2 linked regions of the Struthio camelus genome follow. The protein of the gene in region 2 purifies or fractionates together with the protein of the main gene of each other region. This does not show direct contact. Links are inferred from orthologs where the notes say so. Each region holds a gene or a part of one and is shown on either strand. Other genes may lie near its edges. The genes, in order: FAM167A and CDC42BPB.

The links.
Region 1: the proteins of CDC42BPB (region 2) and FAM167A purify together in Homo sapiens (co-immunoprecipitation; 3 studies listed by BioGRID and IntAct, counting the BioPlex papers as one, with this or other methods). This does not show direct contact. The link is inferred for Struthio camelus from reciprocal best matches to the Homo sapiens genes CDC42BPB and FAM167A.

What each region holds. Positions count from the first base shown.
Region 1 is NC_090944.1:10,997,753-11,012,698, forward strand, and holds the start of FAM167A (protein FAM167A), read right to left. Parts: upstream 6,889-14,946; 5' UTR 6,291-6,888; intron 1-6,290.
Region 2 is NC_090946.1:71,918,333-71,933,817, forward strand, and holds the start of CDC42BPB (serine/threonine-protein kinase MRCK beta), read right to left. Parts: upstream 6,278-15,485; 5' UTR 6,050-6,277; coding exon 5,872-6,049; intron 1-5,871. UniProt on the Homo sapiens protein: Serine/threonine-protein kinase which is an important downstream effector of CDC42 and plays a role in the regulation of cytoskeleton reorganization and cell migration. Regulates actin cytoskeletal reorganization via phosphorylation of PPP1R12C and MYL9/MLC2.

The sequences.
Region 1 (14,946 bases), on a different chromosome or scaffold from region 2:
TAGAAGAGGAAAGAAAAAAAGGAGGAAGAAACACTCAGGATCAAGGCTGGAGGAAAAAAGCAGAATAAAACAGCTAGCCAAGACAGAAGTGCAGAGAGAAAATTATTCCTCTCCCTTCACTATTCCTAATGGATATCAGCTTATTCTAACACCATTTCTTTCTGCAAAAGAGCAGCAGTGATTTTAAGAGTTCCTATTATTCTGCTCATCTATTCTTCGAGAAGAAAAAAGAGCCTCAGTATGTAACAAAGACCATCCTGAGGGAATTTCTTTTGACAGCTGAAGGGGTGCCTGTGTAGCCCATGGATGACACTTACCCCAGAATGTGATAAACAGGGTAGTGGTCATAGTCTGGCCTATTAATGACCTTCAAAAAAACACTTTAGCCCCTCCTATGCCTCAATTTCCCTCTCACTAAATGGGCAGTTCATGCAGCTGGCCTTTGGAAAAAAACTCTGAGGATCTTCAGAGACTAACAGAAACCAACCTCCTGTGTTTTCAGGTGTCTCCATCTCATCTGGGTGTCTACGCTCCAAGTATAATCAGTGCAGAGATATCCCGTATTATCCATGGAGTCTGGGACATGGTTCATCTGATAGTCTGCAGGCATTTACTACAGGGTTTGCATTTGTGTTGCCTCATGGGCCGTGCAGACACCCCTTGATCCTACAAATGGAAAACCTAAAGTAAACTGCACCTGCTCACAACATCCTCTAGCTCTTCAGGTTCTTCCACGTTTGTGGGGCAGGTTAAGGGGACCAACTGGGATGGAGACATCTGACGACCTTCAGCCTCAGGTCCTTTTGAGTGAGGAAGACCCTGCGGCTGAAACAGCAGCCCAAAGAAATAATGAGGTGGAGCCGAGAGATGGGGGACTGGCACGGTGCAGTGTGTGTATGCCTAGTGTGGCGAGAGTAGAGTTTGCCTTCCTTCCAGAAGCCTAAGAGATGGGGATAGTGGAGATGGCTGACTCTTGTGGGGTAACAGAGTAGGGAATAATCAGGTACCTGGATATACTCTCCAGCAGCAGCAGGTGAACAACTGGTGATTCAACTCCCTTTTCACAAGCAAGAGTGGCCAGTCCAGGTGCACATTTGACTTAGAGGTATAAAGAGGGGACAGCGACGGGTATTCAGCCTATCTCCTTCTCCCCGGCGCTGCCTTACTGCTTAACCAGTGCTGGCTTGGCTGCACAAGCATCATGCCGAGGGCAGCTGGGAGCCAGGACCCTGCAGGTCTGCAGCAGGTTGGCAGAGGGCAGGGAGGAGGAGACGCCTTTGCAAGGGGGTTGCCATAGCAATGGAGTAGGGAGGGCTCCAGATCCACCACTGCCTCCTCGGCTGCTGCACACAGCGAGGTGGGGCTCCAGAGCATCCTCCGGGCAGCAGCAATGCCGAGGCCCTGGGGACCTGAACAAGGTAAGGAGATAGCCAGGCCAGGCCCACACATCGGGTCTCTGGAGCCGGTGGCTTCCATGCAAGGATGCTGCTTTTGAATAGTTCCTTTCCCCACACCAAAATGACCTCCCTGAGGAGGTGAGCGGTTACGCAGTGTGGACTCTGGTGCGTTTAGGGCTACTCGATCCATTTCTGTAGCACCTGAAATATGCTCCTGCAGAAAACTGATCTGGTTCCCAAATGCCCTTCTTGCTTGTCCTTAAGTGACTTTCAGCCTCCCTCCCCACAAAAGGAGACGATGCCAGAAAAACTGGTCACTCCAGGAGCCTGATCCTGAAGCCAGGACTCCTTCCAGAACAGAAGCCCCTGATGAAATCATTGCCCTCAGGATCAGATGCTCTCAGCCTGGTCAGCACAGCACAGGGACGGGACAGACAGGGATGCTCATGGCATCAGCTGTGGGCAGCCAAATCCTGAATCCAACTTGGAGTTTGGTCTTGCCTTCACCTGCCCAGGGAAGCAGGTGCCCAGGGAAGTGCCCTTGCTAAGCACTCATGCTGAGGAGAGTGCCCTCATATTCGTGTTGTCCCCTTCCCATCATCCATCATGTTCCCAAACCTCACTTGGGAAGGACATTTTGGAGGTCTCCACCAACAAACTGCCTAGGCCTGATCCCCCTGTGCCAGCAGAGGGAGGACTGGGAACCTTCTGGCAGGGATGAGGATCCAGGGGGAAGCCAATGAGGGGTATGCGGGAGCAAGGGGGGCTGTGGAAGATCATGGGAGAGTCCTCTGCTCAGCACTGGTGCCTGCTGGCCTGTCTCTGGCCACCTCTGAGCCATCTTCAGCTGCATTTGAGCCTTGGCCCTTCTTCTAGGGGCAAGACAAACACACCTAAGTCAGGCCCCGTAAGCATGAGTAAAGTGAAATGCAGGTTCTGATCTAGCGACTCTGCCTTCAGGCCTCCTTGAGGGCTACTAGGCTAGCTGTGTCCCTTCACAAATAGACAGACCTGACTTCCAGCCTCATACATTAAAAAAGCCCAGGGGGAGACCCGAGTGCTGTCTCTCTGTGTCCGTGCAGTGCAGTTTTGGTGCAAGCCAACTAACACTAACCCAAATAAGCAGGTTGAATGTAGGCACCCTGCTCAGGAGAGTGAGAGAATTTCTTGCTACCGACCCAGTCAGCAACACTATTTAGCCGGGGCCAGACCACGGCAGGGACCGTGCTAACATTTGGGTAGTAGAGCTGACCAAATGCCCATGCCCAAGTCCTGGCAGTGTTGTATTTACTAGTATTAGACATATGTAGAGACAGCTTCCAAACTGACCTTAAGTGGCCTCGCTGTGAGCTGAGTTTCCGTCCCTGTGTTGATCCACAATGTGAGGCCCTGGGGCTGGTTTTATGAGGTGGTTACATCATAGCCCTGAGTGTTGAGACACTGATAAAGCACCTAATTTAATGGGATCCTGAGTGCAGCTGGCTATTGCTGTAAATCTATTGTCATGAATAAAACCCAAGGACCTCCCAGACAACTCAGATGCTAAGGTGAGCAGCGGGGACACACTTCTAGGTTGCACCATTCCCAGATTCACGGGGACGAGGGGGAAGAAGTGGGGCTTTCCATTCATGTATGACCTGTAGTAGGTGAGGCTACCCCCTGCCCAGCACTTCTTTCTGCCCATACTGCCCCTGGAAAAAACACAAAAACCCAACCAACGCAAGGAAGAGAGCAGGGGTGAGCAGTGGGGGGACTGCATCCAGTCTATCTGACTGACGAGAAGCACAGCGGAGGTGCGAAGAGGCATCGGGAGGAAGGTGAGGGGACTGTCCCTGTCCTGCAGACACAGTCTGCAGCTGTGACACCCCTCCTCAACCCTGCTGAAGTGGACAACGGTCCATGGCCACACTGGCATTGCGCCGTGCAGCCCCTGTTCTCCCCAAGAGCCTGGGGAGGCAGAGCAGGCTGCGAATGCAGAGAGGCCCCGAGGACAAAAAAGGCAGAGTTTGCTCAAGCAGCTCTCAGAGCACGTGTCCTGTCCCCTCAAGGGTCAGAGACCACCCTGGGCCAGACCTAGGCACACGCAGGCCCTGTGACTCCAGATGCTGACGGCAGCAGCGATTAGTTTGTGCTCCTTGCCCTAAGTTATTTTTTCCACACTGGTCTCAATCCTCAGTGATAGTGTCAGAACCTGATTCGATAAATATATCTGTCCCTTCCTGCCTAGCTACAGCTGATCCCTGCCGCCTCTGCCACACAAAACCCGAGCAGGCTCCATCAAGGAAACAGACTGAGATTGGTGTCTGCTTCTGATGGACCCTGACAGCTTCACTTTCACACTCGTCCAGCTCTCCTCAGTCAGCAGATTTCCAGCAGTCGGATGGAAATCCAGACTGAAGATGACCCAGGCACTGCCAGATTTTTGGCATTCCTACAAGGCAGTCCTCCAGCGAGTGGGAAACGTTGGCAAACTGGGAGATATCGCAGCAGCTGGGGATTCTGCCCAGCCTTTGTCTACGAAGAGAGGGGCAGCACTGACTCTCAGCCCATCGTCCGAAAAAAGGGATAATTATCTTAAGAGGAAAGCAATTAAACAGCAGCAGAACTGGCCAGTTGACACCTTCTTGGTGAAGAGACCCTATCCATGCTAGCCATCTTCTGGCAAGGCCGGTTGAAGCACAGCAAGAGTCAGGGACTGGGAGCAGGGGTTGCTTTTCCGTACGCTGCCCCAGGGTCCCAGCAGGTCTTGGGAGCTAATCGTGTAGAGGGCAGGCCTAACCTGCCCCCCAAAATGCCCCTGAAGGACCTGTGATTTGTCAGAGCCACTTCCTTCCCCTCTTTTCCCTGCTGCCACCCCAAACGTAGCTGTGTTTTACCAGCGGAAAGAGCAGGCAGAGCAGGCAGTCAGACCTCTGTACCAGTGCCACCAGGGTAATTCAAAGGGCTGTGACTCCTTGGGAATGAGCCAGATTAGGCTGAGAAATGCTCTCTTCCCAGGAGACTGCCACATGGAGTTATTTTTCCCTAAATGCAGCATGAAAGGCAGCAGGCTGAAGGGTATATTTTAGGAGAAAAATACTTTCTGGCTTTGCTAGGCTTCATTCTGCCAGCGCTGAGCCCCCTCAAGCCCATGCAGCATCAGGGGCCAGTGCCCACTTGAGGCCCCCAGGCTTCAAGTTAAAGTGATCAGGGGACGGGGGTCAGCCCCCTGGCGATCCCCTAATCCCCTTTACACGCTCCCTGTCCCATCCAATTACTCGCTTTAGCAGCTGCCCGGGTGCTAATCGTCCAAGCACTGTACTCAGACCTGCCTTCTCCCAGGTGCTTGCAATGCTGATGTGACTTACGCTTTTTTATTACTTATTTTATCCAATACGAGCTACTAGCAAGCAGACCCCCAATCCCTCCCCCTGCAAAAGGCCAAATTACTATGAGGCTGATTTGTTCTTTCTGCAGTGCCTCTCTGCTAGATTTTGCAAACACCTAATGGCTGCGGAGCTGTTACAAGCCCAGAGCACGGGAGAAGCCAGATTCCTCCCTTTTTGTTTTTTTTTTTTTTTGTGTCGTACAGATCCTCCTGAAGAGGTAACATTGCAATGGGCATTTGAAAGTGGAGGAGATCTGAAACGCAAATAAAAGCGACAGGACCAGCATGTCGAAATGACGGCTGGTAGGGAGGAGACCCACAACAGCCAGAATGAGCTCGTTCCCCCTGAAAAGTGGCAAATCCATAAGATACTGGGAATGAGCAGACAAAGCTGTGGTAATGTGGCACCAGCCAGACACAGCTGCCCTCGTTGGAAAAAGACACTGGGTTTTCATTTGTTTCACGCCCCCCCCCCCACCCCCCGCAACAAGGTACCTAACGCAGAAAAGCTCAGAAGGGCAGAACAGTGCCGAATACTACTGGGAGCATCACAGAAAAATAGGGAGAGGTCTCCTTAGCCCTGCGCCAGTGGGAACTGTGGGAGAGGTGTCCCCGTCTGGATTCGAAAGGGTGCGGGCTGAACGGTGTGCTTTTGTGCAAGTGCAATGTCTCGTGCAAGGGGGGGTGCGTTGCACAAGGTGCACTGGCTGGGGTTGCACAAGTGTGTGCACAGGGAGGGGTGTGGGCTGACAGTGTTATTTTAGTAATCAGCCCCAAGCTGTTATAAAGGGCTCTGAAGAAGTTCTGGATGTTTTGGTTTTTTTTTTCCCCCTCAGTGCTAGCATGAGCTGCAAGGGCCAGACCTGAGCGGGTGGAAACCTGCTCTGCTCAAACACACAGTGCCTGTTTCAAAAATTGAAGGCAGCTACGCCCTGCAAGGCCACCATGCTTTATCCCATTATGTCTGCTTTGAACAAGCCAATGAACCCTTCTAGGGCTCCCGCTCATCTTGGAGAGGGGGCAGAGGGAGCAACAGGTGAATGTCCCCAACCAGGGCCAGACTCTGCCTCGTTACACCCCAGCTAGTGCAGAAAAATTCCCCTGAAGGTGGTGAGGTAGCCCTACACCTCTCAGCTGAGAGCACTGCCAGGGAGATCACATCCTGCCCAGATTCCCAGCCCGTCCCCATCAGCGGTATGCCACAGTGTGGGACATCTTGAGGGAAGGCAGGAGATTGTGACTAGGAGGACAATGAAACCCCCAGCCCTAACGCATAGGAAGAGGCATGGCCAAGCCCGGTACTGAACTTCGCAGGGCAGGGGGTCCCCATCGCCTCCATCCAGGTGCTCCCCAGGGACCAGGTCCTTCCTGCTACCAGTTTCCACTAGACTAGAAAAGCTTGGTGTCCCTCCCCTGCCGAGATGGCTCTCAGACAGCTCTCGTCCTGGATTCACCCACGCGTCCCCACTAGGCTGTGCTTCACCCCAGACCCAGCATGGCTGAGCCAATGCGAGAAACAAACTTACCGGGGACCGAGTCACAGGGAATATTCCACGGACATCTTGACTCGCTGCTTCGTCTTCGAGTCTCCAACTTGGTATTTGCAAAGCAGTGTCACCAGTGCCTCCAGGAGACTGTCTCATCCTTGTCTCTGTCTCGCTTCAGAAATCTCTCTGTGTGTGTTTTTTTATTTAAGAGACTTTTTTTTTCCCCCAGCGGTTGCGTCAGGCCTGTTGCCTGGAGACAAGCGAGCTATTCCAGTTTGAGCTTTTCAGTCCAGATTTCCTGTCTCTCTTTCATTCATGCCATCAAGCCCTGAACCTACCTCCCACCAAGCAATAACCCTGAAGAGACCTGAAAGGGAGGAGCCGTGCAGCCTGGGTCCTAAACATCCTCCGACTCAGCTGCCTTGCGGGATCCCGAGGAGGGAGAAAGGGTAGAGATGCCCTCACCACCGTGACTACCCAGGCTGAGGGGGTGCTCTCCACCGACATCGATGGCAGGGACTCAAAGGCTCACTGGAGGTGCCCCCAGAGTGCCGAGAAATCCATGGCTTTTGTAGGAAAGGCTCCTCCCGGAGTGAGCTGAGCTAGCATCCATGCGGCTGTCCCTGCTGCACGCAATGGATAGTTGTGAGCTGTTCTCCGAAAAAAAAGCGCAGGGACCTCTGGCACCGGGGAGAGCTTTTGGCTAATGTTTTACAGACACTACAGCTCGCCAAAAGGTCAGCGTTTGCATGCAGGGCAGGGAGCGATGGGGGTGTTTTTGCAAGGATGGATGAGCATCTCCAGCAAGGTGTTCAAAGCTCTGGGCTGGCAGGTGAGTATCAAGGGGTAGCCAGGGAGAAGCCAGCCTGTCAAAATAGTGTCAAGTGTTTTCACGCATGGAAAGCAGCCTTTGACTGTCTTTTGGAAAGTGCCTGTTGCTCCCACATCTCCCCAGGGTGGCTAGAAACCATTTTGGCTGCTTCTGAGGAGGGACCAATACAGCCACATGTCCCAGCAGGTTGCTGACTATGGGCCCTACTTCTAACCCCCACTCTCAGGGGTTAGAGTGGGTTTCATCCCTTTATCACAGGCTAAAGATTAACCCCTTGAAGCCTGGGGATGGCTCTCAAAATCAGCGCATACATCAGTCCCCAAGTGTGGTTAGTGCACATCTAGCGTACTGAGTCTCAGGGCAACTGGTTGTACTTGTGAACTGAGTGGTGCCAAGGGTTAAATGTTGGCTATCAGTCCTTCCACACCCATTTCCACATTAAGCTTTTGTGAGAGATGATACCCATATACTGCCTCCTTTTTTTAACGCACCCTTTCTCCTGCCTAAATTGTCCCTCCTCTCCTCCATGGGCAGCAGAGAGAGATTTCCAACCTTCTGAGTTCAGGATCTCAACAAGGGCCTTGCAACACCCTGTGGAGGGCCAGGATTTCCAAAGCCACCTGGAACAGGAGAGACCTCCTTTCAAATGGCAGCAAGACTGGTGGTTTCCCAGAGCACCCCAGTGATGTGGAGACTTTGTACAGCACCTAGCTCAGCAGGAAATGGGCGGCCTGAGAGATGCAGGAATGCAAAGTTAGAAGAATGAAGAGTAGTGTTTACAGTCGTTCATATTTCTGATGCAAATGTGTTTTTTTTTTCCGCTTGGACAGCACCCTTTTTGTGGGGGGGGGGGAAAAAAAAAAGAGTCCATCAAAGGACTACTAAGATGATTAAGGGACCGGAGCATCTTTTCTATGAGGAGAGGCTGAAAGAGCTGGGCCTGCTCAGCCTGGAGAAGAGAAGGCTCAGGGGGATCTGATCAATGTGTGTAAGTATCTGAAGGGAGGGTGTCGAGAGGATGGGGCCAGACTCTTCTCCGTGATGCCCAGTGACAGGACAAGAGGTAACAGGCACAAACTGCAACACAGGAAGTTCTGTCTGAACATGAGGAAAAACGTCTTTCCAGTGAGAGTGACCGAGCACTGGCACAGGTTGTCCAGAGAGGTGGTGGAGTCTCTTTCCCTGGAGATATTCAAAACCCGTCTGGATGTGATCCTGGGAAATATGCTCTAGAGGACCTTGCCTGAGCAGGGGGGGTTGGACTAGACGATCTCCAGAGGTCCCTTCCAACCTCAACCATTCTGTGATTCTATGATTCTGTGAAATTTCAGATATTCATATGCAAACTCATTCTGCTGATTAGCTCTCAGAAAGCTGTGTTGCAGGCAGTTGTCTGAAGGCTTTCACCTGCCCTTCCCAGGGCTAGTGGTGGTTAAGATGGAATAAGGAGATGGAAGAGCTGTTCCTTCATATTAAAACCTTCTAATGCAGACCTATAGCTGCATTTAAGCTCTTAATGGTAAGTGCATGGTTCAGCATTTCCTGCGACATCTCATCAAACCACAGACTGGGTCCATGCCAATGAACCAAAGTGTCAGTGAACGGGTATAGGCATGGGAACCTGGTGAAACACAATCCCTGGCCTGGTTTTGACCCTGGCCAAACAGTCCCTGGGCATGGTTCAGGAGTTTGCAAGGCAAGACCACATTCCCAACAGACAGTTTTGGATGCAGCCATCCTGTTTTGATAGCTGAGAGTGTTTTATAGCACGGATGTGGCCAGACAGGGCTAGCTGGCCTCAGGGCCAGAGACCAGGCCTGGCACAGATTAGTTTACTAGCAGAGGTGTTGCTACCAAGGCTGGACATCTATATCATCACAGCAACAGACCACACACTGTCACCCTCTTCCTCTTCTGTAAATGTTTATTTTTAATTTAATTGTGTAATGGGTTTCGAATGAGCTGCCAAAAGACACTAATGAAAGGCTGCAGTCAAGTTTCTCTGAAGTCTCTCCTTCCACCAAAATGCACTTAGACACAAGTCTTGAACCCCAGTTGCCTGCAATAAACACCAGAAATTAGGTGTGATGAGTCCATAGCCACGTCTCTCTGCTGCTCGGTGCCCCCTTCATCCAACAAAAACCCACATGGGCTCAGCACTGAGTGATATTTTAGGGGAGGAAACGCTGTCAGCAAACTGGGCGTTTCTCGGTGCTGCTGCTGGTGCCCCAGCAGTGCAGATGTGAATTTCCCACAATGCCTCCAGTGAGTAAAAATAAACCTAGGTGATGCTAAAGCAGTCCCTACCCGGACGCTTGATTTTTTCTCCTTGACTTGGAAACAGAGAGACCTTTCTGATGTATTCAGACCTGGAAAAGCTGCCAGATCCGGGAACTAAGTTCCTCAGCATCCCTGGGCAGAGCACTTTTTCCAGACTACGCTTCAATCCTTGGGAGCACTTTCATACAAGCCTGGATCCTTGCTAGGCTGTGATTTGCAAATCTCAGGTTGGGAATTCCCTGCTGCAGATCCCAGACTCTCCTGGGAACCTAAATCTCCCATGCCATAGGAGCTTGGAGCAGCACTGGATGCTGTTAAGTCAGATGTGCTGGCAAAACCTACCTGCCTTATCTCTCTCTAGCTAAATCTCATCTGGACACTCTAAACTACCTCCACATCACCACAGAGAAATGGGCAGCTCCGGAGGGCCATTCCTTTTGCATAATTACAGTGGTTCAGTGCAGCTTGGATTTAAAGTATCTGCTCCTTGCCCGGGCTCCTGACTTTGGGGTGATTTTTCCTTGTACACATCCTACTCGTGATGCCTGGAGGAGCTGGCCTTCTCAGCAGGGGAGTGTGGCCATCTCATGGTACTGCCTGCTGGAAGCATCTTGGAGGAGCATCGATGGTCACTTCATCTAGTCACTGAATAAATGCCTTTTCCCTAAGGCAAAGTCCATGGAGATCAGCCTGCCTGGGCACTGCTGTCTCCAACATGGGGAAAAGGCTACTGTGCCTTTCCGGCTGACCATGTCCATCCTAGCTGGGTGCAACCTCCACTCCCTGCACAGGGACATGCATAGGGAAAGTCTGAGATGGCCTGAGGGTCACCTGGCTGCGAGTTAACCTGGAAATGTGACAGAGATACCTACAGAGGGCAGCAGGTCTCTAGTTAATGCTGTCGCTATCGACGGTCACTGCAAGGGCCCAGATGCAAGTATAGATGCATGCAGAGGGTTATGGTCACCTGGCTGTTCGTCTTCCTGGATCACTGAGGGACTCTGAGAGACTTGGAGAGTCCCAGGGCAAAGGAAGTTACGAAGTGGTGTAGTCATAGCTTTGTTTTGTCATCCTCCTGGAGATGCAGGGCAGCATGAAGGCTTCACTGGGGATGTCCAGACACTAAGGGGCTTGTGAGTTGTTACAGCTCCAGTTTAGACAGGAGTAATTTCTGTCACAATAAAGGCACGGCTTCCAAAAGGAAGGTGGTGAGGGTTCTCTGTTCAAGACCGGAAAGGGCTCTAGCCTTGTATTCCCTCCTTCTGAAACCGGTAAGACTTGTTGCTGGTGTTTGCAGGACTAAAACTTTACCATTTGCATTGCTGGGAGATTAGGAGTGGGCCGTGGGAGGCTGGGGGATGTGAGCATAATGCCTTCAAAGGAGCATTTCCATGGCAAGAAGCATTATTTTGACAGAAGGCCCAGTCTAGCTGTGCTGGACAAAGCAGCCGCACGCCCCCAGATATTTGCCGTTTGCACCCCACATGCTGTCTCGCTGCAGTTCACCACCCTTGCGGAAAGGGACGGAGCAATGAGCGTGTGTCCACACCGTGGCTGCCTCTGTTTGCAAGATAGCTTGGTCAAAAGTGCCAGCGATGTGGTTTTGTGCTGAAACGTTGGGCTTTGCTCTGAGACTTTCATGTGTCCTTTCACACCCACTCAGCCGCGAGGTGATATTGCGTGTCTGCAGGAAATTGCCAAGAGAGAAGGCAACAGGAGGTGTGTGGAGGTGGGCGGAGGAGTGCAGCGAGGTCTTCAGTGCTCAGCCTCAGAGTATTGGGTGATGCTTTGGTTCCAGCTTCTCCCGCTGTCTGTCCTACTTCTGAGGAGCAGACCCCCACCAGAGGTTCAGGATGGGTTTGTCCCTTCCTTCTCCCTGGCAAATCTATCACCAAAATCCTCCAGTTTGTCCTTGACACCAAAGTCCCCAGGGTTTGGTTTGACATGGCTTTGATGGTCATGTTAGGCCTGTCCCTTGTCCCTGTCCCACACACCCAAGGGCTGTGTGAGGTTGTGTGCTGCAAGTGCAAGGCCGTGCTTCTCCCTCCTGACACTGGCTGCTACTGTGAACAGGGACACCTCATCCATAGCTCAGTGTTTCACTGAGGTCCTTCTGCAGGTCTTCACAGACAGCCTTTGTCCTCATGGTCCTGTTTGGCCTGGGACCTGGCAGTTTTTGGTGGCACAGCCCTGGCCCATGATCTTGGTGCCACCTTGCTCTTTGCAGAGATTGCAGGTCATCTACCATCACCTCCTTGCTGGTATGTGTTGGGGGCAATAAGGAGGGCAGGGCTTTGTCTCATCAAGTCTCTGGCCTTTTCCAGTATTGCTCTGATGTTTAATCTGGACCAGCTTGCTTTAAGCGGTATCTTTTATTGACTGGGCTGGCATAAGGCTTCTGAGCAACACAGACAAAACTGCCCACTGCACGGGCAAGCCCCCTGCCCTAGGGCCAGTGCGTTTGTCCCTGCTCCATTTCTGGATGATGCTGAGCACCCTCCCCTCACTCTGCCACAATGTGTGCATGCCAGGAAGGAGCATGTGTTCTCATTCCCATGCAAAGTGTTGTCCACCCCAGCATCCAGGTGCAGCCTGGAGCATGGTACAGGTTAATTGACACTTACCGGGACTTGGCGCTGTGCAGCCAAGGTTGGGAGGATTTAGGTTGCTGGGAACTTGGAATAATTTGGCAGAAGGTGGTGGGGACTGTTTCAGAGTAAAGCAGGTCCAAGAAAGTGAGAAGCTGGAGTTTTCTGTGTGTGAGTTCCCAGCGTGTAAAGAGAGCTGGAGCAGGCATGCAGGGGAAAGATGGCGGTTTGTGAAGTGCTCCAGAAACCAGGCAAGGGGCTGTAAATATTTCACCACTATTTGGAACAGTTCTTAAACCTCGACCGTCCTCATTCCCTGTTAGCCCCTATATTTCTTTCCCACTGTTTTCGCAGGTTGGTATATTATGATTTCCACCTTTTAGTCCCTTTTCCTTTGGATTTCCAAATCAATCCCATCATTGTTGGTCTATCCACCAGTCCCTCTTCCCAGGTAACTTGGAAACTTTCTGGTAAATTCTGTCTGACTTTGGCAGAGGAAAAGATATTTCAAAGATACAAAGTCTTGAAAAGTTTCACTGGAAGCAACAGCCCAGCAGAGGAGCGAGGAGACCAAGTCCTTTAGAGAAGCTGTACGGTGAGCACAGCGAGGCTTGTTGAACAGCAGAGTATCCACAAGAGAAACAGCCACAGGAAACTAGACTGCCTGAGTCTCACCGTCAAGGAATGACATGGTGTTTTTTGCATCGGGTGTTGCCTGGAGGGAGTAGTGGTATTTTCTCCGTGTGTTTCTTTCAGGCAAGTCATCGCCAAAGACAAAATCAAAGAACTAGTGCCTTTCTGCTTGTCTTAATTAAGCATAAACTTTATCCAAAATCCGGCAGTGATTCCAGTAGTGAACAGTGTCCAATAGGTGACACTCATCAGCTTCCTGGCCTTCAGATGGGCTGGCAAGTCTGAAACTCTGCTGGTGGGTGTGAAGATGAGAGCGGTGGAGCTTCACAGCCCTGCACAGGCTGGAGGCAAAGCTGTACCCCAAAGACCCTTTGTGGGCACCACAACAACCCAGCATGATGAGATCTGAGCTGATCCCTGCCTACAACTCCAGAGGGGCACTGGATGCTCAGCCCAGGCAAAGCTTTTTGCAATATTGCAAGTAGCAAATTGCACAAGGCACAGGCAAGCCAGATCTTAACATACAAGAGATAAAGAGATACTAGGATGTGCTATCAGCAGCACCTCTCATCCCCCGATGCCCTAAATGACATCAGGTGTCTTCTCATTGCTGAAATGCAGCCAGCTCTGAAGCAGAACCTCAACACTCTCTTTAGATTAGATTTTTAGCAGAAACACAACCTCAAATGGAAAGTGAGTAAGATTACAGCACCGTAACCTAGATGATTACAAAAGGGGAAACTGCTCAGACTAGAACCTGGCTGAAGATAAACTCTCCCAAAGGTTAAACGCATCAAATAAATATCTCTCCTTCTGCTATTGGCCCAGAGTGCTGTTAGTTGTGAATGGGCCAGTCCAGAAAAACCAAGGACCCAAATCTCTCCTCCTATTTTCAGACCCGTTGTACACCTTGTGGCTTCAGGTAGTGACTTTCAACCTGCACCAGCCTGAATGGTAGAGATTTAGGACATCGTTTTTACAAGGACAGTACTTTTGACAGCCTGCTGAACCTCTGTGGGTAACGATTCCTCTAAGGTAGCCACCGTTCTAACACTAGCTCTAAATAAGCAGTGTGGTTATACTACCAGCCCTTAATTGCTGTAAGTGTAACAAACCAGTTCAAAGTGTCATTCAGCTGTTGTCGACAGGAAACCACCAACAACAGTCGACCGACAGCACCAAGAAGAATTAGGGTTTCTCTTTCTACATGCTTTAAGGATTAAAACTTATCAAGAAAGCCTTATGTTCTGAGGAGCGTACCTGGCAAAGGATTTTTTAACTCTGGTGGACAACTGGGATCGAGCGTGCTATGATTTAATCTGAACAAAGGAATCACTAGGTAAGTGCAAATGATTTTCTATGAGCTTTGCTTCATTCCTGCTGTCGCTGGTTGTATTTGTTTCTCGGTGCTTCACTGAGTACATTCTCTTAGAGCATTTAAAGATTTGTCTCACTCTGTCCGTTGCCCATGCATCAAAGGTAATTAAACCCTTAAAGATTTGGAGTGCGACGTTCAAGAGAATTAGGCATGTTGCTGACATGGATTAGGGCAGGCGCATTTTTTTCTTTCTTTCTGGCAGAGTGTCTCAATGCTGAAATCAGGGATCTTTCTGAGGTGGGACTGATTTACTCAGATGCCACCATGGTCTAAGTCAGAATCTGACCCGGGGGTCCCTTCTCTTGGGCACAGATAACCTCTTTCTCTTCAAGAGTGAAAGTACATGAAAGCCCTTTAAATAGAAGAGGTGAATAACTTCTAGCTGAATTCCTTTGGGAGAAAAGATAAGGTAAAAACTGAAATCGGGGCCCCAATTCTGAATTTAAAGGGAGGATACTCTGGATCTCAGCAACGCTTGCTGAGTTGACAGCTGCGTATGGTGCAGAGAAGGGCTGAGGCTTTAACTCCCATGCTGCAGAGAAGCACATTTGGCTTTGGAGGTCTTTGTTTCGTTTTGCCCCACAGATGGGCTGGATAGTTTTGGAGCTGTTTATTTAATCTGAGATGATCATTTTGTTCTCAGCCACAGAGAACTTCTTTCAGTCCACCTGATAAAACCAGCAGCAGGTTAATGCTAATAATTGTGGACAAAGCCTCCAGCAAGCTGGAGTAGGAAGAAAGGACTTATTGTTTCTCCCTCAGGGAATTCCTATCCTCAGATGCGCAAAGTCTACATAAACCTCTGTAACTTTCAGTCTTGGTCGTAGTTTAGTCCTGGCTCAAATTTCCTTCTCATCAAAGAAGTGCTCTAGCTTGGAGCCTGGATAATTCAGGAACTGCCTTGTTCACTGTGTCATCTCTGGGATGGAAGGGTCATTGCAGCATTGCGGGGTGTTTGCATCTCAGATCATCTCAGGTGTTTGC
Region 2 (15,485 bases):
TCGTATTAAAAGATACGGCCTCATCCTTTAAATAACACGTTAGAACAGATACCACAAAGGGTCCATCACACATATAGCAACAAGCTTTGAACCTCATGCCTTCAGATCACTAACCCTGACTACAACTCTATTAAAGCTAATAAGGCAGTTTTTGCAATTCTTTGACAAAGCAGATAGAGGATGGCAGAACAGGGAACTCCGGCTGACATTCAGCCTCTTGTTCATCAGCTCTCTTCATTACCCAGCTAAGTTCACTTCTTTCTTATGCCCAACAGGCTTATCGCTGACTGCACAGCTTTTCCCTGCACAGAGAAGAAAATATATGACACAAGCTAGCAGAGGATGGGGACGCTTTCTGAGAACATTTCTGCGGGCAGGGGAGGAGGTTGTAAAAGGGGAGGAATTTGAAAATTAACAAACCATGAAGTTAAGAGATAAGGCATTATCAAGTGGCACTTTTTCCTAATGCAACCCAAAAAGGCTACCAACAAAAAAAAAACCCTCATAAACAGCCCTCAAAATCTGACACCACTAAGTTCATCGCAAAAAATAGTTAGGAATGGTTTTTGTCTTCTATACCAGTAACATGCTCAGCCACACACCATGCCTCCACCTTTACCTGTAGGCTTTTATAGTACATCAGCATCTGTGGCAGTCAGAGGACAAGGTCTACTCTGCAGCTAGTTTTGAAGACGCTCTAATGCAGAGCTGGAAAGACCTGTTCTCAGTCACATCTGCACTCAGCATTGACCTTCTGAATGTAACTGATTACAGAGAAAATGTAGGCTCTAAATTCTTCTCAAGGAAAGACCACCCTGCAAGACCCATTTTCATTTGAAACGTTAAGGTGCCTCTTTAAGGAGAAACAGAGGGAGGAGAAAGGTGGTTTGGGGGTAGGCCAACTACTTGCAAAGCTCAGTTAGGGTCCTGTTTTTGCTCCCCCGACAGCAAGCTCTAAAACCTTAAGTATCAGCCCTTACAGTGACCCAAAGTTACTAATTTGTAACTCACTGCATTGAGGCATCACAGCAGCAACTTTTCTGGTGAACTTCCTGTGCAAGATTTTTCCATCTGTCACCCAGTCTCAAATGTAATAGGTATATCCCCAAAAGCGGTAGTGTGAGGCTAGGCCAGAGAGGTTGTTGCGAGTGCTCTGCACATTTTTCTCTCCTCTAGCCCCGAGCGGGAATATGTTGCTGCTACCACTACAGCATCCACTGTCTATTATGCCAGGCTGTCTCCAAGGGTCTGGCAGCAGGTGCCCAGCTGGCCTATCCATGCCATTCACTGGCAATCTTCTTCCTCTTCCCCAGAGCTTCAGGCCCCCAACAGTAAGTTCCTCTCACAAAAAACCAGAACACCAGCCCAGCTGAGTAGCAGACTTAGACAAACTGAGAATATAGAAGAAAAGTTATGAGTCATCTGTTTGAACGCTAGCTTACCTGGAGGAATTGTCCACAGAAGTATCCCGTGCACCTACCTCAAGGAAAAATCACTACATTTCAGATCAGCCCAAACTAGTCTGACATTGGCTTTGAGGTGTTCTCACAGAGAAGACCAGCCATCATATAGTCCCAAGAGTGAGACAACAGTGAAGCAACTATGTGGGGACACGTGCCATCTTGCCCTCTGCAGCGTGCCAGCGGTACAAAACAGGGTCAGGGGAAACAAAGGCTGGAGCAACAGAGTCTATGCAGCACCAAGAGCATTTTGAACACAAATAAAAGCCCATTCTGGTCAGACTCTTCTCTGAACATTCTTGCATATTAGCCTCGAACAGTGCCAGTAGCTGTTCAAAAATGGAGCAGCCGGTTGTGCCAGTCTCTGCTCACTAGAAGAAAAGGGCAGTAAGCACCAGCTACAGCCAGCAAAAATAGCTCCTGTAAAACAAGGTGATGTCATATGTGCATGCATACGGTGTTAGCCAGCAAGGTGCCCTGTGAGCAGCCATTCTAAGGCTCCAGCACATCTGGCACCAGGTAATAAGAGATTCAGATCATCTGGCATGACTGAACAGGGGGCTCCATTCAGAGGAATGCACTGTATCTGAAAGCCAAAGGAGGGGTGATGCACAGGTGCCTGAGCTGTAGCCGTGCTGGTCAACCATTCGCGTAGTTCTCTTCTCATCACGCCAAACAAGGGTGAGCATACTCCTTTCACAGGCAGAGTCTTTCAGGAGGTGCCTCTGCAGTGCGAAGATCATACCACTCTGCAGTACCCCAGCACTGGCATGCTAGCAAAATCCATCTGATAACTCCAAAGGCCACATACCCTTCCCTGTGCTTGTCTCTTCCAGAGCAGCAGGACAGCTTTATGTAGTATATACTAGTGACCTAGGTCAGCTTTAGATGAGGGAAGTACTGCCACACACTCTGGGACCATGCAGATTGTTTTACAGGCTCTCTGGTACACCAGAAGGGCTAGGCAGTCCCAACAGCTCCCAAGATTGCAGCTAGATTGCTCTCCTGACAGCCCTAGTGGGCCAGAAGGGCCAGCAGAGATGGCCAAGGAGTCTCGCTTCAAAGGCACAAGGGCTGTAGCAGCCCAGTTTCAGTGATAACTTTCAGAGAGCAATGAGAAAGTATAAATAGAACAGGACTGTGAGGATTCTTTATTCTATTTCTCACTCTAGGAGCAGCATATGTAGCAACAGTCTAGAGAACACTAAGCACAGAGTTGGCAAATTCTTTCTGAACATGGAAGACTAGGGTTACATGCAAGTCTGCTATGCAAGAGAGTTGGATTCAATTCCCACTAAGAATACTGAGCATTATTTCAATATCTGTTATATAAGCAACATAATGATAATCTGTTGGATGAGACCTTATTCAGTAAGGATTATAAATAAAAGCAAACTGGAAGAAAAGGACTTTTGAATTCCTAACTTGCAGCTCAGCTAGCCCTTCTCCAAAGATACTTGGATAAAAAAAAGTTTATTTTACTTCCAGTACAGGGAAAACGTAGTACATTTGAGAGCTCCATTCACCATGACAGAGCTACAATTGCCAAGGTTAAAATGGCAGATCCTTACATTTCTAAGGAGATGGCAGTCACAGGCTGCCTCGAGGAAAATGGCCACACCCTACACTCTTCTATGGTTAGGGAATAGTTTGGAAGAAATAAGCCTGTGGCAGGACTGTCAGGAAGCAGTAGCTATGTTTACAGGACAGAAGCTATGAGATCCACTGTTCCTGGCTCACCAATCTCTGCCGGTGAAGCACAAAGCTTCTACAGAGGTTCTGTGACTCGGAGAAGCTGTCCTAAGTGTCACAGGGTAACGTGGGACTTAATTTCCCACTCCTTGATTCCCCTCCTGCTCCACAATATAAGTGCTAGTGTGCTGGTCTCAGCGAGCAAATATCCACATCCAACAGCTATACTCGTTAACTCAACATCTCTTCTGCATCTGCATTCCCACAACCGGGAAAAACCTCTGCCTCATCCACCATGCCTGAACTCTACTTTCCCTTGTCAATTAGGAATGCCAACAATTCCATTAGCCACGCTTAACCATTTTAAGGGAAGTTTGTGTACGAGATACCTCACACCCAATGGTAAATCCAAAATGATAAAGAAATGCTAATTATGTTAAGGTTAAATTAAGCTGAGTTATACGTAGTTTATTTCCATTGTCAGTGATAAGTCTCCGTTTTGTCAAAAGGAAATTCTTTTTGTCTCCAGTTGATAAAGAAACATGCTGATCTTCAAAGTATAGCCCAAATATTTAACTGCAATCTCATGCCGCCACAGACACTTAGCAGCACAAGAAACTTGTGCACATCAATCCAGAATATCTTCTAACAGAGAAACAGACTGTAATTAAGACTGCACATCATGACATGAGGACGATTAGCATGTTTGGCATGGTATTTCCCTTACTAGCTGGAGGCAGAAACTAGTTCCTTGTCAGTGGAAACATACTGTGAGGGCATTAGGACACAGATAAAAGGTGTCTTGTTGTTGGCATTTATTTGTTTTTAACAGCTTGCAGGAAAGGGAGGAATGCACACTATCAACTTCAGTTTCTTTTAAGGGGATTCCTTGTTGATGGAACATAAATATACAGCAGTCCAGACTTAGGCCCATCCCCTTACCATGAAGGGCCTGGATTATAAACTTTTATCCCTACTCTACAGCACCAGATGGTAGCTCACATACATTTAAATTATTTATTGAATAGGCACTTTGTTATATTAGGGTAATCCCACGTTGCAGTAAGAACTACACACTATTTTTACTGCTAGCTATACTCTTCATCAAGTCAGTAACCTTTTCATATTCAGTGAACACACTAAACAGAATTAAAAGAAGTAATTTTATAAACAATTGGATAATCTGCCTCTCCATCACACAGAAGATGACAACATGGGGATCACTCTGTAAAACATAGCCACCAACAGTGCTATAGAAAAAATATATCATCCTTGGGCCTGCCTCAAATCCTTCCCTCAGCTTCAGGACTTAGAAGTACGATCCTGGTCTGATATGTAGCATTTAAGAGTTTGTAGCTGCTTGCTCATTCAAGCCAGCAAATTGAGAATAAGAGTATAAAACCAGATTGCACTTTGCAGAAGATGTACAAAGCTCCCACAACAAAACAAATAATCAATGTTCCCCTGCCTGCAGCCTTTCAGGGCAGATGTGATAAAGTGGTTAATTATTCAGTTGGCAATCGCATTACTGACGTCAATAGAAGAGTCCAGGAAGTGAATCCTCTTAGTTTGTTAGCGTATGACAAAGAGTGGTGGTCCCCACAGAAATTAAGGAGAACCAGCTGTCCCTATGTTTTAGGGCAGTAGTCTGTACCGCTAAAGACACACATTTGCATTTACTGAAGTAAAATGGCCACTCCCCCTCCCTTAGGAAGTCTTTTGTTTTGTTTTTTGAGAGAGATCTTTAAAAGCCTAATTAACTGTACGTGCATGGAACAGCTGATAAATGGGACAATATACTTGTGAGCAATGATCTCTCTCTCTCTCCACCCTTCCCTCCAATTCTTATTCCATGGAGAAGATAAGTCACCTTCACCATAAAGTATTATTCATAACCTACTGAGCTGAATAAACCTGTCAGCCACCATGACCACTTTAACACAGATTCATTTAGGCATACACCAGAGATAGATCTCTGCTATCCACATACCCGTACTCAATAGTTTTAACTAACGCGACAGGATAGAAAACTTTTATCCCAAGTACAATCACAAGGATACGTTTTTTTGTTGGGTTGGTTGTTTTTTTTTTTGTCAGCATGCTCTGACTATTGGAAGTTTCTCATTATCAGGTTGCTTAATGCTATGAAACCATTAAACAAAGCTGTTACAAAGGCTGCCTAGAACTACTCTGTCCTTCGGGGGTCTGCCCAGACTAAAAAGAATACATGGTGCACAGTAACTGTTTTCCCTCGAAGACACGCACACCCTCTCAACTAACAGCAACAAATCTGGCACAAGAGCTGTATTCATAGTCTGAGCCTTCGGCTTTCCCCCTCCTCCCCTCCCCCAGGTAGGAAACACTGAGGAGGCGCTGGATTAGCCTGACGTTCCGGGTTAAGCCGAGCAGGCTTTCAGGCCAAGGACACTTCGGTGCTGTTCCTGTTCCCGGCTGCCAAGCGGCCCGCTTGGGACCGAAGCGGCGCTGGGAGGGGACGGCAGGGGTCAGGCCCGGCTGGCGGCGGCTCCGCGTCCCGGGGCGGCGGCTCCGCACCCCGCCCGGCCGCCGGCGGCCACGGGCAGCGCACGCCCGGGGCCGGGCCGCCCTGCCCTGCCCTGCTCTCGCTGCCCCGCGCCCGGAGAGCACAAACCCTCCCCACCGGGGGGGGGGGCGGCCCTCCCCTCCCACCGGCCCGGCGCCGGCCCCCGCCGCGGCTCACCCCACTCGAGGAAGTCGGAGACGTATCGGTCGCGGCGCAGCGGCGAGTCGCGGCTGCACTCGGCGTAGACGCCGACCAGGAGGTCGAGCAGGGTCTCCACGCTGAGCACGCTGTCGTGCCGCTGCGGCCCGTCCAGCACCAGCTGCTCCAGCCGCTTCAGCCGCACCTTGGCCGACATGGTGCCGCGGCGGCGGCGGCGGCGGCGGGGGGGGGGGGGGGGGGGGGAGGCCGGGCCGGGTCGGGCCGGGCCGGGTCGGGCGGCGGCGAAGCCGGCGGACACAGGCGGGAGGCCGCGCTCAGCCGCGCCGCGCCCCGCGCCGCCTCTCGCCCCTCACGGCCGCGCCGCGGCCGAGCGGCTCCTTCCACGGGCTCCGCCTCGGGCCCGGCCGGTCCATGGACCGGACCCGGCCTCGCGCTCCGGCCCTCTCAGCGAGCACCCGGCGGCGGCTCCGCTCCCGCCCCTCCTCCCGGCGAGGGCCCCGCAGCGGCGGCGGCGGCTCCGCGCGTCTCGCAGGCGGCACCGAGCGGCCCCGGCCGGAGCCCGCGCCCCGCCCACCACGCAGCGTCCGCGCGCACCGACGTGGGCAGGGCTGCGCGCAGCCAGCGCGAGGAAGATTGGGGCCAGCCCCGCGCCGTAGTTGGGGGCGGGGAGAGAGCGGGCGTGTGGCACAGCAGGGCGCGGCGCGGCTGCCGCCTCCTCGGAACCGGCTCGGCAGATTCGCCTCCCTGAGGCGGGGCCGGCAGGGAGGAACGGCTGTGGGTTCCCCCTCGGCACTTTCGCCGCTTGGCGGGGGCAGGCCGCAACCTGCGCGTTCGCCTCGGCAGATTCGTGCTTGCATCCCCCCACACCCCCACTTTATGGCCGGTGTCAAGAGGGCTGGAGGCGAAGTGGACCCCCCCCAACAAACCCCAGAGTGCTGCCTCCAGCTGCTCACTCCAGCCCAGCTCTCACGAGCCGTGGCCTCCCCCACCCTCCCTCCGCTTCCCCCGTGGGCTGTGGCCCGCCATGGTTCTGGGCCTCCGCAGGCCGGTCACTGTGCCAGGCCGCAGCCCCTCAGCTCCGGGTGGGCTCCCATGGGCGCCACCCAGGGCTCCCTGCGGGCCTTTGCTCCTTCGCTGGGATCTGCCCCTCGGGCCTCGATGGGCAGCACGCGCTCGGGGCACGTGGAGCCGCCAGCAGAGCCAGCCTCAGACTTGGGGTGGGGGGGGCCTCCAGGCGGCAGCTGGAGTAGGCCCTTCCCCTGCGCTAACTCCTTGCTCTACTGCTTAACTTGTCTTGGGGGGCCCCTGGCAGTAGTTGCAGAGAGGCTGGCAGGATAGGCAAGGCACCACAGTAGGAAACAGTGCCTCTGAAAGCCGTGGCTTTACGCACCCTTCAAAACCAACCTGACTTGCATTAGGAGTAGCAGCTAATCGAGACACATGGAGCTCTTTGTGTTAACAGCTGCTGTCTACGCTCACTTGAAGGTGAAGGGAGCTTGGTGTAAGACACTCAAAACTTTCTGCAGTGCCTTTTTATGGCATTACAATTTATTCTGAGAACTGTTTTCTCTGGAGATCGTGGCACCTCAAGGCAAGATACTCAATAGCTTGATGGGAGTTTACATCTCTAGGAATGCAGCCAGTCAGGTCCTGATGCAAAACTAAACAGGGAAGGAAGCCTTTTCCTTGCTCGTCTCCCCTTGTGATTAGATAGAGCACTGTACGCTGAAAATCATCACGCCACAAAGAGCGGCCGCTCAGAGCCAGTTCTGTCACTGTCAGGAATGTCCAAGAACTAGAGTTGGACAGAGGTTTGCATGCTGGTAGTTGTAGTTATCAGGGACCATGGGTCCTTCACGGTCAGAGGTAACATGTCAGTAATTGTTGAAATACCTGAATGTTCTCAACTGTGACCTTTAGGGCCAGTGGCTAGGCCAAACCCAACCAGTGCTGCCTACTGGGAGCTGCCCTTTTCAAGTAGTCAGGAGCACAACTAGACAGAATGAGATGGAGTAATGTGCAGCAGAAAGTACTGCTTCCGATATGACACAGAGCATGACGGAGAGGTCCAACACAGCATTACAGAAAAACTTCTTTCTAGGAGCCCTTGCCCCTCAGGCAGTTCTGATATCTCTCCGTCTGATATTTCACCTGACATAGAAATATCTGTTCTGTCTGAGAGCTATTCAGGTCATAATAAGACTGTGTGCTGTGCATTTGGCATTTGGACTCACTACCTGAATCAAGAAGGTATAGGCATGTTGGGACCTGTTAATTCTAAAAACCGCAATTTGATAGAAGGTCCTATGAATCATACTTTTATACCAAGAACCTATAATTTTTAAACAAAGAAAAGCCACAATGGACTGAAATAGCTTTTTTCTTCCTAAATGACTTCTATCCCTTTGTACTTCCTTCTTCCGCAAATAACTGCTTCGAAAAATATTTCACAGCACATACAGGGGTTGTCTTTATTCTCCCTCTATGATCCTCCCTGCTTATAGTTGGTTCGTCTTACCTCAAACTGCTTGATACTGATACATTCATCTGCAGGACCCTTAGCATTTTAACAATTGCAATTGTTTTTCTGGTACTGCTTCTTTATATAAAAGGAGAGCTTGATGTTTTCCACTTATTACTGCTTTGGAGACTCAATTTCAGAAAGAGTTGACCAGATTAATGGCTAAGGAGAGCAGAGTTTTAAAGATCCTGATACAGTATCTGTCTTTTCCCTTCTTATCTGTTCCTGCAGATGGTGATTATCACAACCTCCTTCAGCAAGGAAGAGATGATAAAGGAAACTGCAGCTGGAAGAAGAAGTAACAGTTTTCTGCCTACCATTCGCTCTAATGCTTCCAATCTGGCTAGTCTATTCTACACTAGGAGAATTCAGGTATTTCAAGAACCATTCCTGACTTACAGCAGTCGCAGTGAAGAATCAGGTCCTGTGTTGGGAAAATGACGGATGGATGACAGATGATACTGAGACCTGCTTTAACAACTATGGAAGGTTTGGCATATCAGACCAGCACATGCAAGATTATTTATTAGTGATACTGTAGGTGTTCCAGAATTAATTGGAAGATTTCAAAAATATTGCAAAGACTTAAAAGTCATGTACGCTGCTAGTAATGCTGGGGTTTGAGATCAAGGTTTACAGTTGCAAAAAACCTTACCTCACTGAAAAGTGACATCCCGAGTACATATTAAAAAACATATGTAAGCTTGAAAATGTAACTTAAGGTATTCTGCTTCTGTTACGTGTGCCTACTCCCTATACTAAAAATAAATGTGATTTGGCTAAAATGGGTTAAATGATCCATCTTACCAGTTCCTTTTTCCTGCGACATATTTCAGTGGAAAAATACAGCCCCTTTTCCTGATTTTACAAAACTCTCTTTTTATGAGACCAAATGTAAGCAAAAGGGTTCTCACTTATATTTTCTGGAATCATTATAGACTTGCAGAACTGAAGACATGAAGTCCATATGGCTAGGAAAAGTTCTTTCAGATCCAATCATCTCAGGTCTCTCTTTTTTTGTTTTTGGCTGTACTCCAGGTAACTTAGTAACTAGGAAAGGAAGAAATTCTGTTATAGAATTTCGATGGCAACAGGAAATAGCTGTGTCACTGCTTTATGACTTCAGGAAAATCCACCCACAGATCACTATTGGATTGAGAAGAATAAAGAAATAGGAAAGAGTATGGACAGAAATTGCAAACAGCCCATTGACAGTGGAAACCTTCATGCTAAAAAAAGAGTGAAGAAGATTTTGCAAATATCTATTTTGTCATAGGCAGACAGGTAATTCTAGAAAAGGAAGAAAAACCTTTTTTAAGGATTTACAACCCAAAATATAGGTAAGTTGAAATCAGAGAAAGCTCCTAGTAATGAGTTCCAAAGGTAGAATATAAGAAAGAGCTAAACATGCCTCAGAACAACAGGACTGGTTTATTTCTTGCTATTATCATATTTCTTTCCTTGAATTATTTTTTAGGAAACTCTCACCTTTTCAGCGCTGTCTGTTTTTGCCAATATTCTAAAAAATTCCCTCTTGCCAAAAGCAGTATAAATCTACAACTGTTGCCCATATTGGAAGCCAAAAATAGTTTGTCAGTGGTGGATGTCTCTGATAACATTGCATCATGTGAGCTTGAGCATTGAGCTAACCTACTCAATATTGAAAACAACAGCAGCATCTAAGTCACTATCGGAGACCATGTGATGATAGCAATGATGGGAATTGCATAGAAAATTTCCCAGGGAAGACAAAAACTCTGCTCTTTTGGTAGGACAACGGATGCTAGAGCTCTGTTTCAGCTTCCAGAAAGCTCTGTCTGCTTCAGTTCACTGCTATTGCACTGTTTTAGCAAGAAGATTTCACAAATGTTCTTGACCTTGCACATGATGATGAGTGAAGTAGGAGTAAAGAAAGGGAAGCTGCTCATGGAAAAGTGCTGGGAAGGGCTGAGAGTCTGTTCATTTCCAATTTTCACTAAAATGCTTTCTCATAACAAGAATAATAAAAAAAAAGACAAGCAAAGCCATTTGGCAGGCTACCTTCTGTTAAGTGCATTCTGCTATTAAGTGCATTTGTTGGCAGGGCTTCTATTCCTGTAACTATCTAGAATTTAGCGATAGTATAACCTAACATTTTGAACTGCAAGTGAGGCAGACTATAATAAGAAAAGAGTTTTCACTTGGTACATGCTTTCTTAAACGGAAAAAACAAAGAAGCAAAAAAATCAGTAGATTTATTAGTAGAGACTTTTAAGACACTTCTGACTGGTTTGTTTCATAGCATCTTTGCCAGCAGAGGCAAAGAAACATGCTAATCCCTCACTTCTTCCAGCCTAGATGCGTCAGGTTCCCAAGCACGTTTTTTCCCCCCAATAATTTGTCTTATGAACACTGTTCTTTTCCTCAATAATTTATGCCTCTTTAAAGTCCACCTGAAAGAAAGAAACTTGCCTCCTTGCTGCTGTTTCAGGAAACCTTCAGTCTTATTGATCGGTATGTTCCCTGATTGCAGGCAGTCTAATACATGGAGCCCAATATGGATCACATCAAATTAGCTTGCTTCCCATTCCATTCACACGTTGAGAGTAGCATTAACTGAAGTGGGCAGCTGCTTCTATCAAAATCGGTATGGGGCCACTTGTTCTTTTTTCCTGAATTTGTCTGAAAATGACTGAAGTGTCAGGGAACTGAGGTTTCGGATGAGGTCATTGCTGTGGACATCTGGAACAGAATGTCATTGCCATATTTAGGCAACACAACAGCTCAATTTATTTCAGATCTGATTTCAAGTCCACAGTATCCCCAGGAAGGCACTGGCTCAGTGATGCAGTCTGTTTAGGCACATGATAATGCTAAAAGACTGGCAAAACAAAACGAAAAGAACTTAGACACATGCTACTTCAGGGATCTTCAGAGGAGGTGGAAGCAGTGGTACAGAGACCAAATACTTGTCGACAATTATGACATCTTGCAGTAGCTGTAGCATGTCCTGCTGTCTATAGCTGCCATTTTCTCATTTAATAGTATTATGTTATTGCAAGTTCACATCTGCCAGACTCAGTTAGATCAATCTTTGTACAAAGTGTGAAAAGCAGTGTGTTGCTAGAGGGGATTTTTTGCGCCTGAGTTGATGCTGTACTAAGATTATCTATTTTGTTTTCTGTGTGTGCTTTTTTTTTTTGCTAGATTCTCTCGTGCTCTGGTTCAGCCAACCTGAAGGTAGTACCGTTTGCTGCAGAGAATAAGAAGAGTTTTAGCTGATATATGTAAAAATAGATAGAAAATGTGTTTTTTTTTTCTTAGCTAATATTTAGAATTAGTTCTCTTGGGTTGCTGAGAGTAGCAGTGTTATTCATATTGCATTTTATATTAATACTGCATTTTACTACTATTTTTATGTCTTGGGAGAAATGACTGGAGATGAAAATAAAACTTCTCCAGTCTTTTCTCCTGAACCTTTAAAAATCTGTCACTGACTTTAATAGGAGTGTTCCCATGGAGATAAGCACAACTAAATCTACCTATGAGGAAAAGAACTAGCCTGCTTGGAATGAAATATTTTTGCATTTAAAGTAACGTTACTTTAATGCATACTTCATTCTTCTCTGACAAAGTGTTCTTTGATTTTCAAAGATGTATAATCAAAATAAAAATCAAGTGCTATTGTATTTTTTTCCCTGGTTCCCTCTCCACAATGGAGAATCCATTGATAATCAGTTTCTGGTAATGAGAAGTTGAAATCAGAAAATATCCCAATCTATTTCTGCATAAATAGCATTCCGGAAAATGCAGTTGTACACTGGCCAAAAAGCAGCAGGAATTACTGTGCAAAAACCACTTTTATTTGTTCAGTAATGGTGACCTAGCAAACTGTCTATGGCTGTTAATGGTACTTATCTCTGTTATGAATTGCCAGGCACTGTTCAGAAAAGCAGCAGTGTGACCAAAATGGCTTTCATTTGTTCACAGTATCCTGGGACACTGGCAAAAATAACTGTACCAACTTCAGCATCAAATATACTGAAAGGCTGCTGCTGATCATTCTCACTATTCAGGAACATCTTTTGTTTGATGCAGCCTCTTTGGAAACAAGGTGATTTTTCTGACAATGTGTAAAAAAGACATTTTACTCCTACTCATTTGCACGGAACAAAGATTTCACCCAAGATTGAGGCTGATCTTAGCCGCAGCATTACAAATCCAGAGGCACTCAGTCTGGATTTTCGCAAATGCTACTATCTTTGTCTTCCGGCTTATCCAGTCTCAGCAAAGCTGTGCAGAAACCCTCTGTCTCACACATTAAGCCAACGATCACCAAGATCCATAACAATATTGACAGCGATTCAGAGGAGACCCACACTTCTCAGCACTGAAGGGGAGTGTGAATGCTGCCCCTGCCTGACTCCCGTCCTCACAGCAGCCGCCAGCCCTCCAGCCCGTGGGAAACATTCAGTCCCCCTCTGCCCCATGTTCCCTGCCTGGGGGCTGGCTTCCCTATTGTTCTGCACATGGACTCCCTCCTCTTCAGGGCTAGCAATGGTAGCAGTCCTCTGGTAGCAGACGCTGTAGGAGTGGGCAGTAGGTGCTAGTGGGACTTTTCAGGGGTGTGTGGAGATCATGCTCCCTGCAGAAATCAAGGGGAAGTGGAGATGAAAGACCAGGGAGGCCCTCCAAGGCCTTGGCGTGAGCCCGCTGATCGGAGACAGAGGTTGAATGGTGGCTGGTGATGCTCTTGGGACTGTGTTCACCCCTTGGAAAGAGCAGCAGCAAGCTTTGCTCTTCAGTTTCAGTGAAGAAAAAGGAAAAGGCAGCTGCTAGTCCTGCATGGGCCTCAAGCTGGCTTTGTAGTCATCAGACCTCAACCATTCCTGACAATAAAATGCCATCTGCAGTTCCCACTTATCTATCTTGTTTTCTTTTTAGCCGCCCTGCAAAGAACACCGCAAAAACTGATCCCTGCACTTTAGAACAACTTGAAGTTCTGAAAATTAAATTTGCGATGAGCTACGTCACTGTGACTTGGATTTTGCAAAAAAGACTACAAAATGCAAAAGTCTGTCTGTTTTGAGTGTGGGTGCAAGTCCTATTAACATGGTGAGGGGAAAGACTGTGTTTACTGGTGTGTGTGACAAAGTCAAAGACACCTTTCATTGCATCACACATATTTTATCAAAGCCCTGTTTTCAGCAAGAAAGACCTGATACTGATTATGACAACTGCCCTCCCTCACAGTACCGATAGGCAATAACCTCTGGGAAGAAGTACGCCAGCAAGCAAGGGCCATGGGAGGAACAGCAAGGAGGGATTGCCCGAGCAGGCATGAGTTCAGAGAGCTCCTTCTCCCTTGTGAAATATAAGGGCAGACATATAATGTAAGCGGAGGCAGCTGGCATGATTATTACTTGTTGTTCTGAGTCTGTCAGCTGTGATGGGGGAACAGGGACTTTTCTAAGTGCAAAAATGATGACTCTTCAGCGGCCATTGCCACAGGCTGAGTGCTCAGGCTGGGCAACCCAGAAGAGCATGAAGTCGTGGTTGCTTTTTCTGAGAGAAGGATTAATGGTTAATTGGATGCTGCTTCTGTTCCTGACATTAAGCAGGAGGGGGAGCAGATCCTGAGCTACAATAAACTGTCATAGCTTCATTGAAGTCAATAGCAAATTGCAGAGACTTGGTGTGTCAATAGCTAAACTCCCCAGGGCTGGTCTTCAGCTGGGAGAAATTGTCATAACTTCATTGAAATCCACTGATGTCCAGCTGTCCCTGAGATTTTGCTATTGATTTTGCTGGGAGTAGGACAAGAACTAAATTTAATTTTATGATGGCCTAAGAACAGGATACATTGTTTCAAAGCAGCCATCATTACTGCTATTAATTGGTGCCTGTCCTGGGCAAGGCTGTCTCTTTCAGTCATTAAAATGCTGCTTGCCAATCTATGCTTTGCCCTGTGGATGTGAAAATCTGCACTGACATAATATATGTAAAGCAGAAAGGTTTTGACTATTTCAGGTTTCATTTAGGTGTGTAGCCTATGGTTGCCTCAGGTAACGCTGAGGTACTACTTAATCATGATAACATGATTAAGATGCAAATTCACATGCCTAATTTAAATGAATTTTTGCTCTGAACCATACAGCTGCATGTAGTTTCTAAGAGCAAATGCAAAGTAGTCACAGCAGGCTTCAGCTCAAGCAGAATCTCGGGGACCGCTTCCAAACAGAATTGCTCATTGTCATAGCAGAAAGTTGAGGTCACCTTTTCAAAAGTGCTGGGAGTCCAGGCGCTACACAAGATCCTCACTAACTGTATTAGCCCCAGCCAGTCATCGTCTTGGGGGGAAACAGGCTTTGTACAGGAGTGGAGGGCATCTCACCCCTGGAGCCAAGCCTCGGTTAGAGAACCAGCTGAGGCATCGCTCAGCAGGACCGGTAGAGCCTCTCCTCTGAACATAATGATGAAGAGTGCACAAAGCTAACCAATGGATCTTCATTGCCAGACGTGTCCATCCACCTACCTTACCACAAAACTGTGTGTCTGGACTGCTACTGTTGAGAAAGCCTCCTTGAGGAACAGCCACCACTGAGCAACACGATATGCAGCCCTCCTTGCAGGAGCCCGCTGGAGCCCTCAGCAAAACACAACTCTCATGTTTGTGCTGCTCTAGGTTAAACTCAGATGTCTTGCAGGTTAATGCCTTTTCCTGTTCTGCCTGGGTCTCCTCCTAGCTACCGTGTTTCCCCTTGAGAATAACTCCTGAGGCTTCAATGAATGATTACTTCATTTTCACTACCTTGGGGCAGGGCTGTGTGCCTCATTCATCACAAAGTATGAACTATAATCATGTTTTAATGGCCCTTTCTAGCTATTGTATGACCATGCAGAAGGGCTTGTTTGTTCCCATGGGCACAGAGCTAAGCCTCCATTAGTTTTGCCTGCAGATTCCTTCACATGACATGCTGAAGGAGAGTGGCCAGGTTAAGGAGCAATACACTTGTCCTTTATACTGGGGACTGGGCATATGGCTGATATCCCTTTCCTATAAAAACCATGATCGGTAAGAAATTCAAATACACCTTTGGAAAGTACCAACTATAGTGTGTGGAAACCATTT